Linked DNA regions of Tribolium castaneum. The protein of the gene in region 2 interacts with the protein of the main gene of each other region in a pairwise test. Links are inferred from orthologs where the notes say so. Each region holds a gene or a part of one and is shown on either strand. Other genes may lie near its edges. The genes, in order: heat shock factor-binding protein 1 and CCDC53.

Evidence for each region.
Region 1: the proteins of CCDC53 (region 2) and heat shock factor-binding protein 1 interact in a two-hybrid assay, tested with the Caenorhabditis elegans proteins (2 studies listed by BioGRID). The link is inferred for Tribolium castaneum from reciprocal best matches to the Caenorhabditis elegans genes ddl-1 and hsb-1.

The regions. Positions count from the first base shown.
Region 1 is NC_087398.1:4,659,657-4,666,152, reverse strand, and holds heat shock factor-binding protein 1, read left to right. Parts: upstream 1-3,164; 5' UTR 3,165-3,282; coding exon 3,283-3,378; intron 3,379-3,431; coding exon 3,432-3,587; 3' UTR 3,588-3,677; downstream 3,678-6,496. Other genes in the region: Eogt (EGF domain-specific O-linked N-acetylglucosamine transferase), read right to left, coding at 1-144, 544-646, 695-1,304, 1,356-2,034; Fam92 (CBY1-interacting BAR domain-containing protein 1), read right to left, coding at 3,688-3,978, 4,031-4,063, 4,111-4,335, 4,381-4,792, 5,190-5,221; uncharacterized protein LOC655683, read right to left, coding at 5,419-6,069.
Region 2 is NC_087402.1:709,301-717,524, forward strand, and holds CCDC53 (WASH complex subunit 3), read right to left. Parts: upstream 4,623-8,224; 5' UTR 4,492-4,622; coding exon 4,441-4,491; intron 4,381-4,440; coding exon 4,216-4,380; intron 4,145-4,215; coding exon 3,906-4,144; intron 3,856-3,905; coding exon 3,813-3,855; 3' UTR 3,733-3,812; coding exon of another isoform or gene 3,595-3,732; 3' UTR 3,549-3,594; coding exon of another isoform or gene 3,375-3,548; 3' UTR 3,207-3,374; coding exon of another isoform or gene 3,204-3,206; 3' UTR 2,492-3,203; coding exon of another isoform or gene 2,387-2,491; 3' UTR 2,386-2,386; downstream 1-2,385. Other genes in the region: acidic leucine-rich nuclear phosphoprotein 32 family member B, read right to left, coding at 27-186, 2,387-2,491; RpL36A (large ribosomal subunit protein eL42), read left to right, coding at 3,204-3,206, 3,375-3,548, 3,595-3,732. UniProt on the Caenorhabditis elegans protein: Acts as a component of the WASH core complex that functions as a nucleation-promoting factor (NPF) at the surface of endosomes, where it recruits and activates the Arp2/3 complex to induce actin polymerization, playing a key role in the fission of tubules that serve as transport intermediates during endosome sorting.

The DNA.
Region 1 (6,496 bases), on a different chromosome or scaffold from region 2:
TTCATTATCAAGTTTGGAAATTAAATTTTTAAAATCGGGATGGTTTTCAACGTGTTTTGCTGCCTTTGCAACTAATCGTAAAAACTCTTTTACGTCGAAAGAGTAATTGGCGAATTTGGCGTGAGCCCCACCATCATGAGTTCCCTAAAAATTGTTTTACAATTTAATTTTAATGAAAAAATGAGTTGAAGAAAAATCCACTCTTGTAATAAACCAATATGAATAAAAAATGTGTCGTTAGAAATTAAAAAATTCTATATTTGGTCTCAAATAATTTTTTGGCACTGGGTTGAATGTATTTTCGTTGAGTCGTAACTTTCAATAAACTCTTTTTGCTAATTTTTTTTTTTCAATAAAAATCGCATATAAAAATTGTAGTCGTCGCCCGTGATTCAAAGATGTCTAAATTAAATTTCTAATTAATTTTTAAAATAAATTGGCGACATTGAATTATTTGTAACTCTTTGTAATCAATTGTAAATTTAATTGAAAGCATTAGCGTCGTTATAATTCGAATTATAATTAAGTAAATTAAATTCTTACATCCTCCTGTGACTTTAGTTTATCCAGTTTCTCCCACGTGACATACTTGAGCCCCCTTAACCTTGCCAGATCGAAATAACAGTTCGCATCTTCACAGTTGTACCTAAAACCCCTCAATTACACTAATTTCCACCCAACTCAAACGAATTACAATTCAAAAACAGCCGCCCAGTCCGGTAAAAACAATAAATGCGTCAAGCCAGCCCCATGTACCCCAATTAAAACATCGGAATTCCGCGTAATCTCTAACTGTTTCTTGAACGGAACGTCCTTATTGTAGACAACTTTTTGCACTTCATAGTCATGATTTTTCGCCAAGGCTTCAACAAGTTCGTCCTCGTTCAAAATCCTGCGATATTTCGTATCGCGGGCAAGAAGCGTAATTCTAATTTTCCTATTGTTCCGAGGGTGAAAGGGGATTTTGAGTCGGTGTAAAATATGTTGGGAGAAGGCTTGAAACAGGCCGCTGTTCTCACACCCGTAGATAATCGGGGTGTTGTAATACAGCCCGAAAATCATGCGAGGCAAAAGGGGGAACACCACGTTCTTAAAACACACGGTTTCGCCCCTAAAAGTCTTCAAATCCCAAACGGGATGATCGGTGAAAGCCTCCCAGGTGTCCCCGAACGCCGACCTGTACGTGTAAGTCTCCCAAATCAACACGTGAACATCGGTCGAGAAAGCGTCCCATTGGGTCGAATTCAAATGTATTGAAGCATAAAGATTGAGAAAATCGCAGAAATGGTGGTACATATTCACCGCTAAAAGCAAAACTTGCGTCAAAATCGGGCCCCAATTTTACGGCCACGTACTAGCGTCAATTTTCATAATAAACGTGGGTTTCTCTATCACTACATCGCAATCGCCTTCGACTATCGGCCTACGCGCAAGCCTAGCGAAGTACCTCATTTCGGGGGCCCAGCTCTGCAAGGGGCTCAAGTGGTCCGTCTGCTCCTCCAGTGCCGCTTGTTTAAAGTCGCAGTAGCCCCCAATTTGGCCGTCTTTTAAAACGTCCATTTTGTACCTGATTGGGTCCTCGCGCGTCCGCAAATCGGTGAAGTTGATCATGAGGTTGCGCCCCCGACAAAAGCGCAAATGTTCCGAACACTCGAGAGAACTATCGTCGGCGAAAAGGGGCTCACAGAGCAGTTTCATCTCGCGCAATTGTTGCTTAACAAAGCCGAAATCGGCTTGGGTGTAAAAAGTGTTAATTTGGTCGGACTTGGACTTGACCCAGCCTTTGTGGTCGCCTGGGCATCGGGGCGCTGAAAAGCGCTCCGATTCCAGACAGTTGTATTCGTAGCCCCAGCATTTGGGGCTGTTTAGAGAGGTTTTGTAAGGGCATTGTGGGTCTTTGTCGCACTTTTCCCTGATTTTGGGAAAGTTAGTGAAGTAATATGGTAAGTGAGAATCGGGGAGGTTAATACTGGAAAAGTTATCACAATACGTTACGGTGGCCGCGGTTAAAAATAACGTAAAAAATGCGAACATTGTGGAGTTTTTAACACTAAAATAAGCGAATTAGGCGAGGAAAACTCATTGGCACGGTTTTGAGGTTAGCTTTCGAAGGTTGAGGTTAATGGTCAGCGCTACCAACCAAGAAAAATTTTTTTTTGAATTTATTTCAACAAAAAAGTGGAATTGAACGGTAAAATACATTAAAAAATGAACGAAACTTTATTTATTTAAGGATAAGGCCTTGCTGCGTTTTGTAATAGGCATAAACGGGCGCTTTGCTACGTGTAGACCAGTGTTTTGTGTCTTTTTTGCTTAAAATATCGTCAGCACTTACGGCCACAGCTCGAAATTTAGCCTCGTTGTCGCTTTCGTCCTCCTCAACTTGCCTTTTTTTCACCTGTGGCGCAACGTCTCTTGTTTTTACACTTATGCAATGCACTGAATCACGAAGTAATTTGATCCCACTTTTCCGTCGTTTTGGTTTCACGTAATTTTCGTAGTTTTTCGTTTCGAGTCTTTCTTTTAACAATTTATCGAGGATTTGAGACAAATGCTTGGCGACGTAATTTTGGAATTCTGGGGATACACGGAACAGATTAAATTGCTCGTCCTCGTCCTTGCTACGGCGTAATGACTGTGGTTTCGTGTTCGGGGGTTCCTCCAATTTCGCTAATAATTTAAATTAAAATAGTGATGTAACCTCACTTTCAGCTTACGTTCGGTTTTGTTGTATAAGGCGTTATTTAACAGCTGGCTGTCGGCGGCTTCGCGTAATTTATCCAAGTCTTCGTCTTCGGAACTGTCTGAAGACATTATTTTAAAGTACAAATATGTAAATAATGGACACAAAAAAATGCAAAGATAAAAATATTTTTAGGGACTTTTTATATGTTTAGTTACTTTGGTTTTAATGGTAATGGCATAACCGTCCCACATTTACTTTTTTCGATTTTTTTAAATATTTTTTGAAAGAAAAATCATCGAGAAATCCAATATGAATAAACTCTGCCAATTTCTATTCTTTAAATTTTTAAAAGTATCTAATCCATTTCACCGGTTTTGATACTCTTTTTTCACTTTTTAAATTTCCTTGTGTTCGTTCAGCCCCGTTGGGGTGCATGTCCCCCTTGTTACCCCTGCGTGCATAATAAAAATCAACAGTCTACACACGCAAACTCAAAAAAATCAGTCAACATCCCCACCGCGCCTGGTACAAAGAGTGACGTTTTTCGATTAAACATTTTCCGTTTTATTTGAGCAAAATCTAGCATTTTCCTCAGTATGGTGGACGATAAAGTCGAAATGAACAACGACTGTGAATCCTTCACCGCCACAAACACCAACGACCCGAAAAATGTCCAAGAATTAACCCAATACGTAAGTTGTCATAACCTCACACGTCAAAATTTTACAATTCTATCAAAAAACAGGTTCAGGGGCTGTTGCAAACCATCCAAGACAAATTTCAAAACATGTCCGATCAAATTTTAACCAGAATAGATGAAATGGGCAACCGGATCGACGATTTGGAGAAAAATATCGGCGATCTGATGACTCAAGCGGGAGTTGAGGGGGCGGATAAGTAAAACTCGAGTACCACTGAATTGATAGTTGTTTAAGTCCTAAATTAATTAATGTACCATTGAACCGTTTTATTAATAAATTAGAACTAAGCATGCGAATGTTTCATTTGCGCGGCTTCCGCGGTCTGATGGGGGACGAGGGCTCCTCAGTGTCGGAAACATTCTCAGAGACGTTCGCACTGTCGCTGAGGCTGTCCTCAGTGTCGGAAATGCTCCGTTTCATGGAGTCGAGCGTTTCCTCACTTTTGGACGCTTTTCTGGGAATCCCCTCTGGTTTTTTGTTATTGGGGGTAAAAAGACCCTTGAGGGAACCCAGCGAATTGCTAGAGCGAAAAAGACTGCGCGAACCCACGTTGCGTGAACTGTCCGGGCGCCGCAGCGACTTTTTAAACTCCTGCAATTTTAAAAAACAAGAAATAAAATAAAAAACCCGAGTCAATTATTACCGCCTCCACCTTTCCACTAGTTTTTTGAAAGTCCTGTCCAACGTATTGGTTTATTTTTTTATTTAAGCGAGTTTACTTACCTGTAAGTCGGCCTCTTCGTCCATCGAATTCACAGCTTTGTAGGCATTGGTCAAGACCTCCAGAGCCCGGGCGTGGTACCCCATTTCTATCGCAACAAAGTCGAGCAAAATCGACTTAACATCGTGCAGTTTTTGTCTCTCAAACTCCGTGCTTTTTTCCTCCAAGTTACGCAAAGTCTTCGAAAACTCGGCACTCGCCTTTACTAACTCGGTCTCAGCTTGGATCTACAATTTCTCACTTATTACAAATTCTGAAATGATTTCCCTAACAATTTGTTGCCTATTCCTCGGATTGCGTTCTTTAATCCGATCCAGCTGTCTTTTCCTCGCAATTTCTTTCTCCCTAGCGTTGTAAATTTGCTTAACTTCGTCTTTGGCATGTTTACAAATGTCCTCATAGCGTGCAAACTCTTTAATCACTTTACTGTCCAAATTCTGGACTCTGAGGTCGCCGTAAGAACTCAAAAGCGAGATACAGTCGGCAAAATTCTCCAAAGCTAGGCTTAGAGATCGGTTTAGTTGTTCCGCTTCAGCGTGTTCGAGCGTGACTTTGGCAATTTCGTCCCCTTTGTCTCTCAGACGGGCCGCTTTCCGGGAATACTGCCCGAAAACGTGGCATAATTCACCGATTGTTCGCTCGACTGAGACAATACGGTCTTGGACGAATTTAGCCTCCTGTTCGCTAAATTCAATAAAGAAAAAATGAAAAAAAAGTCTCCCCGGCGGGGAATCGAACCCCGGTCTCCCGCGTGACAGGCGGGGATACTGACCACTATACTACCGAGGATTAATGAATAAATAACCTCCCAAGCCGATTTTCTTGTAAAATTGCAATCTCAATTTAAGATAAACGAGATAAAGTTATTTTGGTACGTTTGTTTAGTGTTTTTGATATCAAATTCAAGTACTTTGACTTCCGATTACTCAACTCGTCTCAGTCAAACTAATTGTGAACCAATTGACTGTCTTTGTCTAGCTGACTTAAGGAGAATTTAAACTGATTATTACGATAAATTGCGCTTCAAAACAAATTTGCACAAATATTTATCTTGAAAAATTGTAAAGTAATAAATATTTACCAATTATTCCGCGCCCGGAACGTGTTCAACATTATTGTTGAATTGTTTTTATTTGCGTTTCTAAGGGCAACCACTCACAAACAAACGGTTGTGCCAACATGGCTAAATAAAACGCCGTCATGGAATCATGCAACACATTTTTATTATAAAAATACGGAATACAATAATTCAATTAATAATAATTCTTTATAAAAATACTTATGCACATCAAAAAGAGAATTAATTATTGCTATTCGACAACAGCGAAAGAACTACCGGTACAAGCAAAAGCCGCCTTGACTTTTCTATTAGCGAAAATCTGCGTGGGCTTGCAGACGTCGGTTTTATCACCGGTTCCGCAGCTCCCGTGCTCATTCCACCCCCAAACGAACAATTTCCCATCTTTGGTAACGGCTAGATTATGTTCGGAGCCGACGCTCAACTGTGTGACGTCCTTAAGTCCGGGGATCTTCTCCGGCTTGTAGGTGACCTCCCTCTGGGCCCCCAACTGGCCGTAGCTGTTGCGCCCCCAGGTGAAGACCTCGCCCGACTTGGAGAGGGCCGCCGTGTGTGTCCAGCCCGCGTACACGGAGCCGAGATTGGCGTCATGGAGGATCTCCATCGGGACGAAACTGTTCGAGATGTTGGGGTCAATGCCCAACTGCCCGTACTTGTTCTCGCCCCAGCTGTACACGGTGCCGTCCTCCTTCAGGACCACGGTGTGGTGCTGGCCACTCGCTATGCTCACTATGTCCTCTAAGTCCGGAACTTTGGATATACTCAGGTAGTTGTTGTCATCAAAGTTATCGCCAAGGCCCAGCTGGCCCTTGCTGCCCGTGCCTGCGACTAGAAGACCACCGTCCTTGTTGAGCATCGCTGAGTGGCGCAGCCCGCAGCTGACCTGCACACACATTGCCCCCGTTTAGACTACCCTGTGAGGGTGACCAGACACAAAATTTTGCCCGGACAAAAATTGATTTTTACAGCAAAATAAATTTTGTAACTATTGTTACTATCAAATTTTGTTGATCACTTCGGCGCAAATTTAAGGAATAAAAACTGAAATTTCATATTTTTTCAACGTTATCAGGTTATTACTTAACATGTATTAAAATAAATTGTGGACCAAGTAGAGCAGCAAATCGTTCGCAAATACGAAATATGGTTTCATCTCTATTTCTTAAGATAGCCATTGAAAGTTATCAAATGAAAAAAGTCTTCTCCATATCTTTAGAGGACGATTATTGATATAAAAACAGGATTTGGACTTATCTGCAAATCGTGAAATTGTATTCGAGCAAATTCTAGCAGAGCTACCGTTAAAAAAG
Region 2 (8,224 bases):
CTATAAAATTTTATCACCGAAAATACCATCGCCTTCCAGCTCCTCGTCGTCGCCTTCAGGGAGCTCTTCTTCATCGTCGTCTTCCTCTCCTTCAACACCCTCCTCCTCCTCTTCATCCAGCTCTTCGCCCTCGGAACCCGCACCGTTCTCCTCTTTTCGCGCCTTTTTTACCTCCTCCGTTTTTTCCTACAATCAAACATTGTCTTACGACACAAGCTTCTGATAACACAGCGAGTGGCGAAATCATTTTTTAGTGGAGTTATCATTTGTTTTCGCCGTAAAAAAATTACTAATATTGTGCCAACGTCTGAATTAAATTAGATATTACATTATGAAACTGAAATTTTCAGTTATCTTGAATCAGATCGTGTTGCGCACAGAATTAACGACCCAATTAAAACTTAATTTACTGTTACTCTAACATATTCGAGCGGTAATGGACAACAATTAAAAATGTAGTTTTATGAATTTTCTGTTCGGTTCTTCAACCTAGCATCACTGTAAACAAGCGCGCTGTCTCAGATAAGGTTAGTTTAGTAAATAAATTATGGTAACAACATTATACTCGTTTCTTTACTTATAAATGTAAGAACACGTATCGTATTTTTTTTTAATTTGACACACTTGCATTTGAAAATGCGAACTAAAGACGAGTTAAAATATGCAACAAGTGCTCGTGTATTGAAAAATAACAATGCTGGGAGGTGCATTTATGACTAAAGTGTGATGTTTTGTATGTAATTTTACTTTAATATTCTTTGTGAAGACTCAGGCTTTATCGCTGTTGTCTCTTAACAGCAAACAAAAAGCAGTCATTAGTTTTTTTCTTTAAGTAATACAGTCGAACTTTGATAAGTCGTTCTTCGATAACTCAAATAACTGACTTCCGTAGTATGAAAGCAACAAAATCCTAATATTTTTTATTTTATAACTCGAACAGACAAACTTTTCCTTAACATTTACTCGTTGTTTGTCTTAAAACGACATAAGAAATAATACATATTTGTATTTATAAATAAAGAAAAAAATATTTTTACTTAAGAATAACACTTACACAAAAATTTTGGACAGTCAACAGAAATAGATTACAACATTGTTAAGAAATCATTGGAGCAACTGTGATAAACAAAAATTCGCATGAAACAGTGTTGTAAAAATAGAACTAAATAAATTATTCTCGAAATCACGAACTAAATAGAAAAAGACCTAAGTAATTATAAAAGAATGTGAGAGATATCTTATAAGGAAGTTATACAATTTTTTCATAAAAAGTTACTTCTCCTCAAATTTTACAGTTGTTTATTTACCGTCAAATTAATTTTTTGTTGAAAAATATACTGCTTATTAAAACTTTTTTTTTCAATTTTCTTGCCGACAGCCGAGTCACTGAAGTTTCACTGTATAATTTTTTTCAAATTGAAATTAGAAAAGTGGTAAACATTAATTTCTAACTCGAAAGTATATTTCTACTGTGGCACAAGGTTAAATATAATAAAGATGACAATTCTTGATAATTATAATAAAATAAAGTTTGCAATTTTTGTAAACAATTTGATGTCGGGTGAATTTTTGCAAAACCGTTCGATAATCTCGTTTGATAAGAAAAACAATTAATAAAGTTTAATACAATACAAAAATAAATTCAAATGCGTCAAGGACAATGGCGGGAAAATTTCTCCGAGAAATAAAATACGTCAGATCAGAAAATCGCCAAGTGGGCCGCGGAAAGCATGGCTACCACGACTTGCTCGAGAAAATGGAAATAAACAAGCAAACTAACTAAAAACGCTCTTTTCATTCACAATTCTGATCCATGATGGATCTTAATCTTTGCCACTCGTTAGCGTAGCATCAAAAATGTCCAACTCTGTTGATTCCAGCGAGCTTTATGAGACGCTTTGCATTGAAAAACCGGACCAAAGTGGTCAATCTCCGGGTTATCGTGAAATTTGCAACGAAATCGTCAACTCGCACGCGGAAATCTTTCTAGAATCCGATGTTATTAAAATATTAGTGTGGCATCTAGCCTCGCACGAGGACGCCTCCAAGTTGCTATTGATTTCGCCATATTGAATCGAGCAAGCGATGCTAGCCTCAACCCGGGGTCCATTGTATATGGCGGGATGCTTTCCAAGCGTGTTTACACCGCATGCCATAATGAAAAACAGTCGAAAACACCATGGCAACAACAAATTTAGCATCGTATTGTCGCAAAGCCGCCTCCGCGCCGGGAAAAAGCCCCGTTCACATGGCAACCATCCCGCGGAAAACGCGTGAAAACGGCGTTTCCGCGCGTTTTCCACGCGAAAATCCCGACCACAACATCCAACGGCCATGTGACCTTATCGCAAAGCAGCGTAAATGCGAAAGAAACAGTCGAACTCACCTCCGCCGCTCGCTTCGTGCCTTTTAACTCGCATTTGGCGTCGGGCGCACTTTTGTCGTTGTCGATTTTTTCGACAGCAACTTCGTTATTTTCTTTCGAACTCATTTTGTTTATATTCCTGTGTGGGTTTCACGCTTTATCGAAAAGTGACGTTCACCAACGTTGAACACTACTGACCGGCTACTCGTTAGCTTTGTTCAAAAATTAAGATGGCGCCGCTCAAACCGATCGGCCCCGGACTTGGACGAGTGACCGGCTTTCGACTCCCTAAACTATTTATTCACACCAACCGCCAAAAACCAAAAGACAACAAATTCCAAGCTTTTTCGGTGTCTCGGACCCAAAAAACGTGCGCCAGATTTTATGAAATTAATTGCAAGGTGTTTGCTCATGAGGGTTCCGAGAGCACGGATTGAGTTTTACGAACCGGACCGAGATTAAAAACGTGGTTTGAGTATGCCACCGCCAGGGGCGCTCTTCAAAAAATTTCCCTCCACAATCACATTCATTTTATTATTATGCAGAAAAACAGCCGATTATTGACTCAATTTAAAAGGGAACTATTCGGCACGACTTGTTACCCACTAATTAAAACGCCTTTCCCTTGTGGCCGCAAAAATGCGTCTTAAAAACTTTTTCTTCTATTTTTCCTTGCGACCACGTGAAACGAATTAAAACTCTATAAACTTATAACGAAACACTTTTCTATCTTTCATCCAATATAGCAATTCAAAATTCGCGCCAATGTAAACGACGCATGCGCATAGTGTGACACGTTGCATCTCTCTCTTTTTTTTGCAATAAAGAAAATCCCAAGATGGTAAGCAGGTTTTCAATCAAATATCTCAAAAAATCGCAATAATCGGCCTTTGAATTACCGAAAATTTAGCGAATTCGTGCATTTGGCGTCCTTGGAAGGGCACATTCCTGTTTATTTTCGCGTTTTGAGGACGTTTGATGAATTGTGGGGTTATGTCATTGTTTTTAGGTTAACGTCCCGAAGCAGAGGCGCACCTTCTGCAAGAAATGCAAGGTGCACAAGTTGCACAAAGTCACCCAATACAAAAAGTCCAAGGAACGTCACGCTTCGCAAGGTAGGAGACGTTACGACAGGAAGCAGCAAGGTTTCGGTGGACAAACCAAGCCCATCTTCAGGAAGAAGGTATTTTTTTACCTACTTTGAGTGTGGGGCTATTGTGTGTTTTTAGGCTAAAACCACCAAGAAAATCGTGCTCAGGATGGAATGCACTGAATGTAAATATAGGAAACAGATTCCCTTGAAACGCTGCAAGCACTTTGAATTGGGTGGCGACAAGAAGCGCAAGGGACAAATGATTCAGTTCTAATTGTTTGACTAAATAAACACATTTTGTAAAAATTCATAACGTGTTTTATTTATACTTTTAACAATGTTTTTTTAACACAATTAATTAACCGAGGAACTGTCTTGCGTATCAGTTGATTTGGAACTAAAAAATAACGGACGTGTTGCTGATTCGCCAGTGATAGTAGTACTTACTCCAATATGCAAGGGTCAAGTCCCTCTGTTTGCATTTTCAGCTTGACAGCAGCTGGGGGAACCCCAAATTGCAACATTTTGAAAAAGCGTTGATATCGCGGGTCTGACGCAACATCAGGCTCTACCTCTACATTTTTTTCAATTTGCGTCTCCTCGTCTTTAACAGGAGGCAGATCTAAATCGTTTTGTTTAGGCGAGTCCTTTGCAGTGTTTTCTTCTAAATGCGCAATTGAACCTAACTAACACAACCGACTCACTTTTGCGCCAAATAATCGGAACTTAAGGCATTCTAGCATTGTTCAATACTTACTTGCGACTCAAGTATAAGTAAAGAAGCCTCAACTTCTTGCAGTTTGTACTCGAATTCCATCAAACGCGATTCACACGACTGTGCAAAATGGTTTAAAAACGACACCGTATTCATTACGAAATGATTGATAAAAGCAATCGTGCGCTTTTGTTGAATGGGTAAAATCTAAGTGGAGAAGTTGGACGTGATTGTTGCTCGAATGGGTCGCTTTTTTCAAAGACTTACCTGCGTGTAATCCACATTTGGATCAATTGAGGAAAGGTCGTTCACTTGCATTATTTACATTATCTGAGTGAAAAACACTCAAAATTAGGGGGAATCAAGGCATCGGCACAAGTTTATTGAATTAATTGGCTCCAAAGGGACACAAAGAACCTGAGTGACAGCTGTCAAAAGTGACGTTTGAGGTTAGATTGTGGCGAAAGGATCGCTTTTTATGCAATTAACAAACGCAAACACGCTCAATAAAACAGATTTATTATGCCAGATTTATAAAATAACATTGCATCTTGTAAAATATAAAAACAATCACAGTATAAATAAACTTGATATAGACTAAACTACAAACCTTAACAATTTTATAAGAAAACTATCATTGAATTTAGGGCGGTACACAGTACTGTTATATTTAATGTCAAATATTGAACTCGCTTTTGCATTACTTAGACTTAAGTAATGGTGGTTTCATGGAGCACCCTTGTACATATCACTAGCTTGGCAAATATTATCTAGCGCGCTATTGGCCAATCGCGTTAAACTATCAGTCATATTCGGCTCCTGGCGCCCCTCACTCTCGTCCATAAGCGATAGATTTTGGGTGAAAGTCTCTGACAAGTTATTTGTCTCAAGCATGCTTAAATCACCCGAGTTTAAGTCAATCGGTTTCAACTCCAATTGTTGATTGTCCAGATTTAATAAACTGCTTATACCACTTGGCGTTTCACTTAAATTAACACCACTGAGATCATTTTGGGCGGAAGGATTCCAATTCATGTTTAACATATCGCCGACTACTGAAGTCGAAGGCATATTCCAGTTCATCATGCCTCCGATTGGCGGAAGCACGTTCTGGAACAGAGGGGCTTCCGGGGGCGTGGGGGCCACGTAATGGGGCGACACGTTCGGGATGGGCGCCTCGAACATCTGCCCGCCGTACGGCGAAGGCGCCTTATCTAGAAAAAAACACTAAAGCGGGGAAAAATATAAAATTAAATTACCTCTGGGCTCGACTTTAATGCCTTCGGATGGAATGTTGAGTAGGAAGGGTTGGTGCGTCCCTAACAAAAAATCATTAATAAATTGGCCAAATCACAAATTAACTTAAAATCACGCAAAACTACTAAACAAACCAATTGTTAGCCAACATAAGCTCAACCAATTAATAAAACAAAACAAGTTATAAGAAAAAATCATGCAAAACATTCATGTACCTTAATTCCGGTGACAGTTGGCTGCAGCTTATGACGCAATGAAAGACTGTTTACTTGTAAAAAACTTTAATACTTCAGCTGATATAAAGATATAAAGCCTTTAGAAAACACTAACAATCTACCTTTAAACTTTCCAAACAATTGAACATCAACACACTTAAAATTGTATAACTTTGTGTAATAATTCCGATCACAGCCCCATTGATGGATGGGGGATTTCGATTTTGGGCGTAATAGGCGACATATCGCGGCTTTTTAATTTAAAAAAAGGTTAAAAAATTCAAATATAAGACATGAGCACTGTCAGTGTCACTTTTAACGAGCTAAAAATATACCTAGAGTAGGCTGTAACGCGAAATTTGACACATCAGTGACAGTTTTAATGTCAGATTATGACATAAAAGCAAGACCGCTCTAGATAAAATAACTTTTTCAAATGATTTTCGAAGAATTAACTTACAAAAAAAGCAAAAAAAAAAACAGAAACATAAATAATAAACATTGTGACATTAGCACGTCAAATTTGAATTGCCAAACTGACGTATAAATAGTTCCCTGTCCATCAGAGAGTTGTGATTGTAATAAACAATAAAATAACAGTGACTAAATAACTATGACTAGTAATAAAACATTTCAATAAACAAGTTTCGTCGTAATAAAGTAAAACAATCTCATTGGCTGAATTCGGCCAATCAGTTTTGAGCAAAATGACCCACCACCAAAAAATGGAAAAAAACTTACTTTGTTTGTCACTTTCCTCAACATGTCTTAACAATTGGCTTGGGTCATGATACTTTTGCCTCTTTCGCTTAAGCATACCCGGCTCTAAAAACACATCAGATAAATAAAAAAACACAAAATAAATCAATCAAACAAAAAAAAAACAAGAAACAAATCACGTTTTTGACGTTAATCGCGCCAACATTTCACTATTCGTTAAAATTTTCCCGCCTTCAACCGGTGCATAATAACAGGACATTTCGTCAAACTCGCTCTGGGTGGCATGTGGGGCCATTGCCGTGTACAGAGCGTAATGTTCGGCCTCTGTCAAGTCTAAATTCAGATTCAAGTCGCTAGTTGGGGGGCTGTCTTTCAGCGGAATTCGCACACTTGTGGCCGAACTCGTGGAGATATTGCCGGCGCTTTGCCCCAACAGCCCCGAGGGACTTAAACTAGTCTCGCGGGAAGTCCCCGGAGTTTTACTCTTCCGGCCGAAGAGTTTCGAAAAAATCCCCTTTTTCTTGGGGTTGGGTAACGTGGAGCTGGGGGTGGGGGGCAGTTTCGCCGGCAGCGCCACCTCTTGTGACTTGGGCCGATTCAAGTTGAACGAATGCGAACGAGTGACTCCGACTGGTTTCGATATTTCGTTAATGCTTTGCATCGAGTTGCCGATGAAAGTTTCGATCTTTTTCGAACGTTTTGGCGGAAGTGGCGGCTTTTCGGCCTCGATTTCGCGCTTGTTGCGCGTTGTTGTGTCAATTATCTCCATTTCTGGTTCGGTTTCGGTGATTTCGACCGGGTTTTTGAACGCTAGTTGCAGACTTGAGTAGGTCTTGCCGTCATCAAAAGACTCATTCTGGGGGAAGTCCTCCAGTTGGGGCTTTTCCACATCGCTTAAAGCGTCGTTTAGGAGCCGAGCTTGTGTTTCGGAATAAATCTCGTCAAGCTCGGCTACTTGATTTATCAACTCATTGAACGATTTTTCTTCCGTACTTTTGGGTTTCTCGATTTTCGAGTAGTCGTTGTTGTTGGTTTCCATCACTTCGTTTTTTTCCTCGTCTATTTTTTTGATAATTTTTTCGGGTTTGGAAACATCGCTTGCAAGAAGCGTACTAAATAGGTTGTAGTTTCCTTTTTTCGCGTAATTTTTCCTAAGTGACCAATACAAAGGCCTACCTGAATCTAAGGGTAATAGTTCAAATGGAAGGGCTTCGCTGGTGGCGCCATCTGATGGTCGTCTCAATTGGATGAAAACTTTGACGGGTTCGGTGATGTCTAGAGTGTGGTAACGTGGGGCTTTGAAACAAATTGCCGTTTGTTTGTGGACTTGTGACGGTTGAAAGTCGCCAAAACCTTCCCAGACCACTTTTCCATTTTTTTCTTCGAAAAAACGGACCTGGATGTCTTCTTTAGCGACCTAAAAGTGAATTAATTTTGGTCACAGTGTGCTGTGACTTCACAAATCTACATAACTATCAACATAGCGAACAAGATTGTTTATTTTGCAAAATTTCGTTACATACAGCTGATAAGATAATTAACGAAATTAAGCAAAAAAAAGTTTAGAAAAAAAAATGTTTGAACGTTTTAATTTTTTTTAGCTAAGAATGCAATAAATTAAAAGAAAAATGGTGTTGAATTTGTTCCTTAAAAATTCGCCAAAAATGAAAATTTGACAAAACTGATGTTATGTTAGCCTATTTTTCTCGGTTTAGTTCGTTTTTGTTAAAAATAAACCAAAAATTCAACAAAAATCAGCGAAAAAAAAAACATAATTTGGTCGAAAATCACTAAATTATTGTATTTTTTCCGCGTTTTGTTGTTAATTATTTTGCAAGTTTTCGTTATAAACAGGTAAA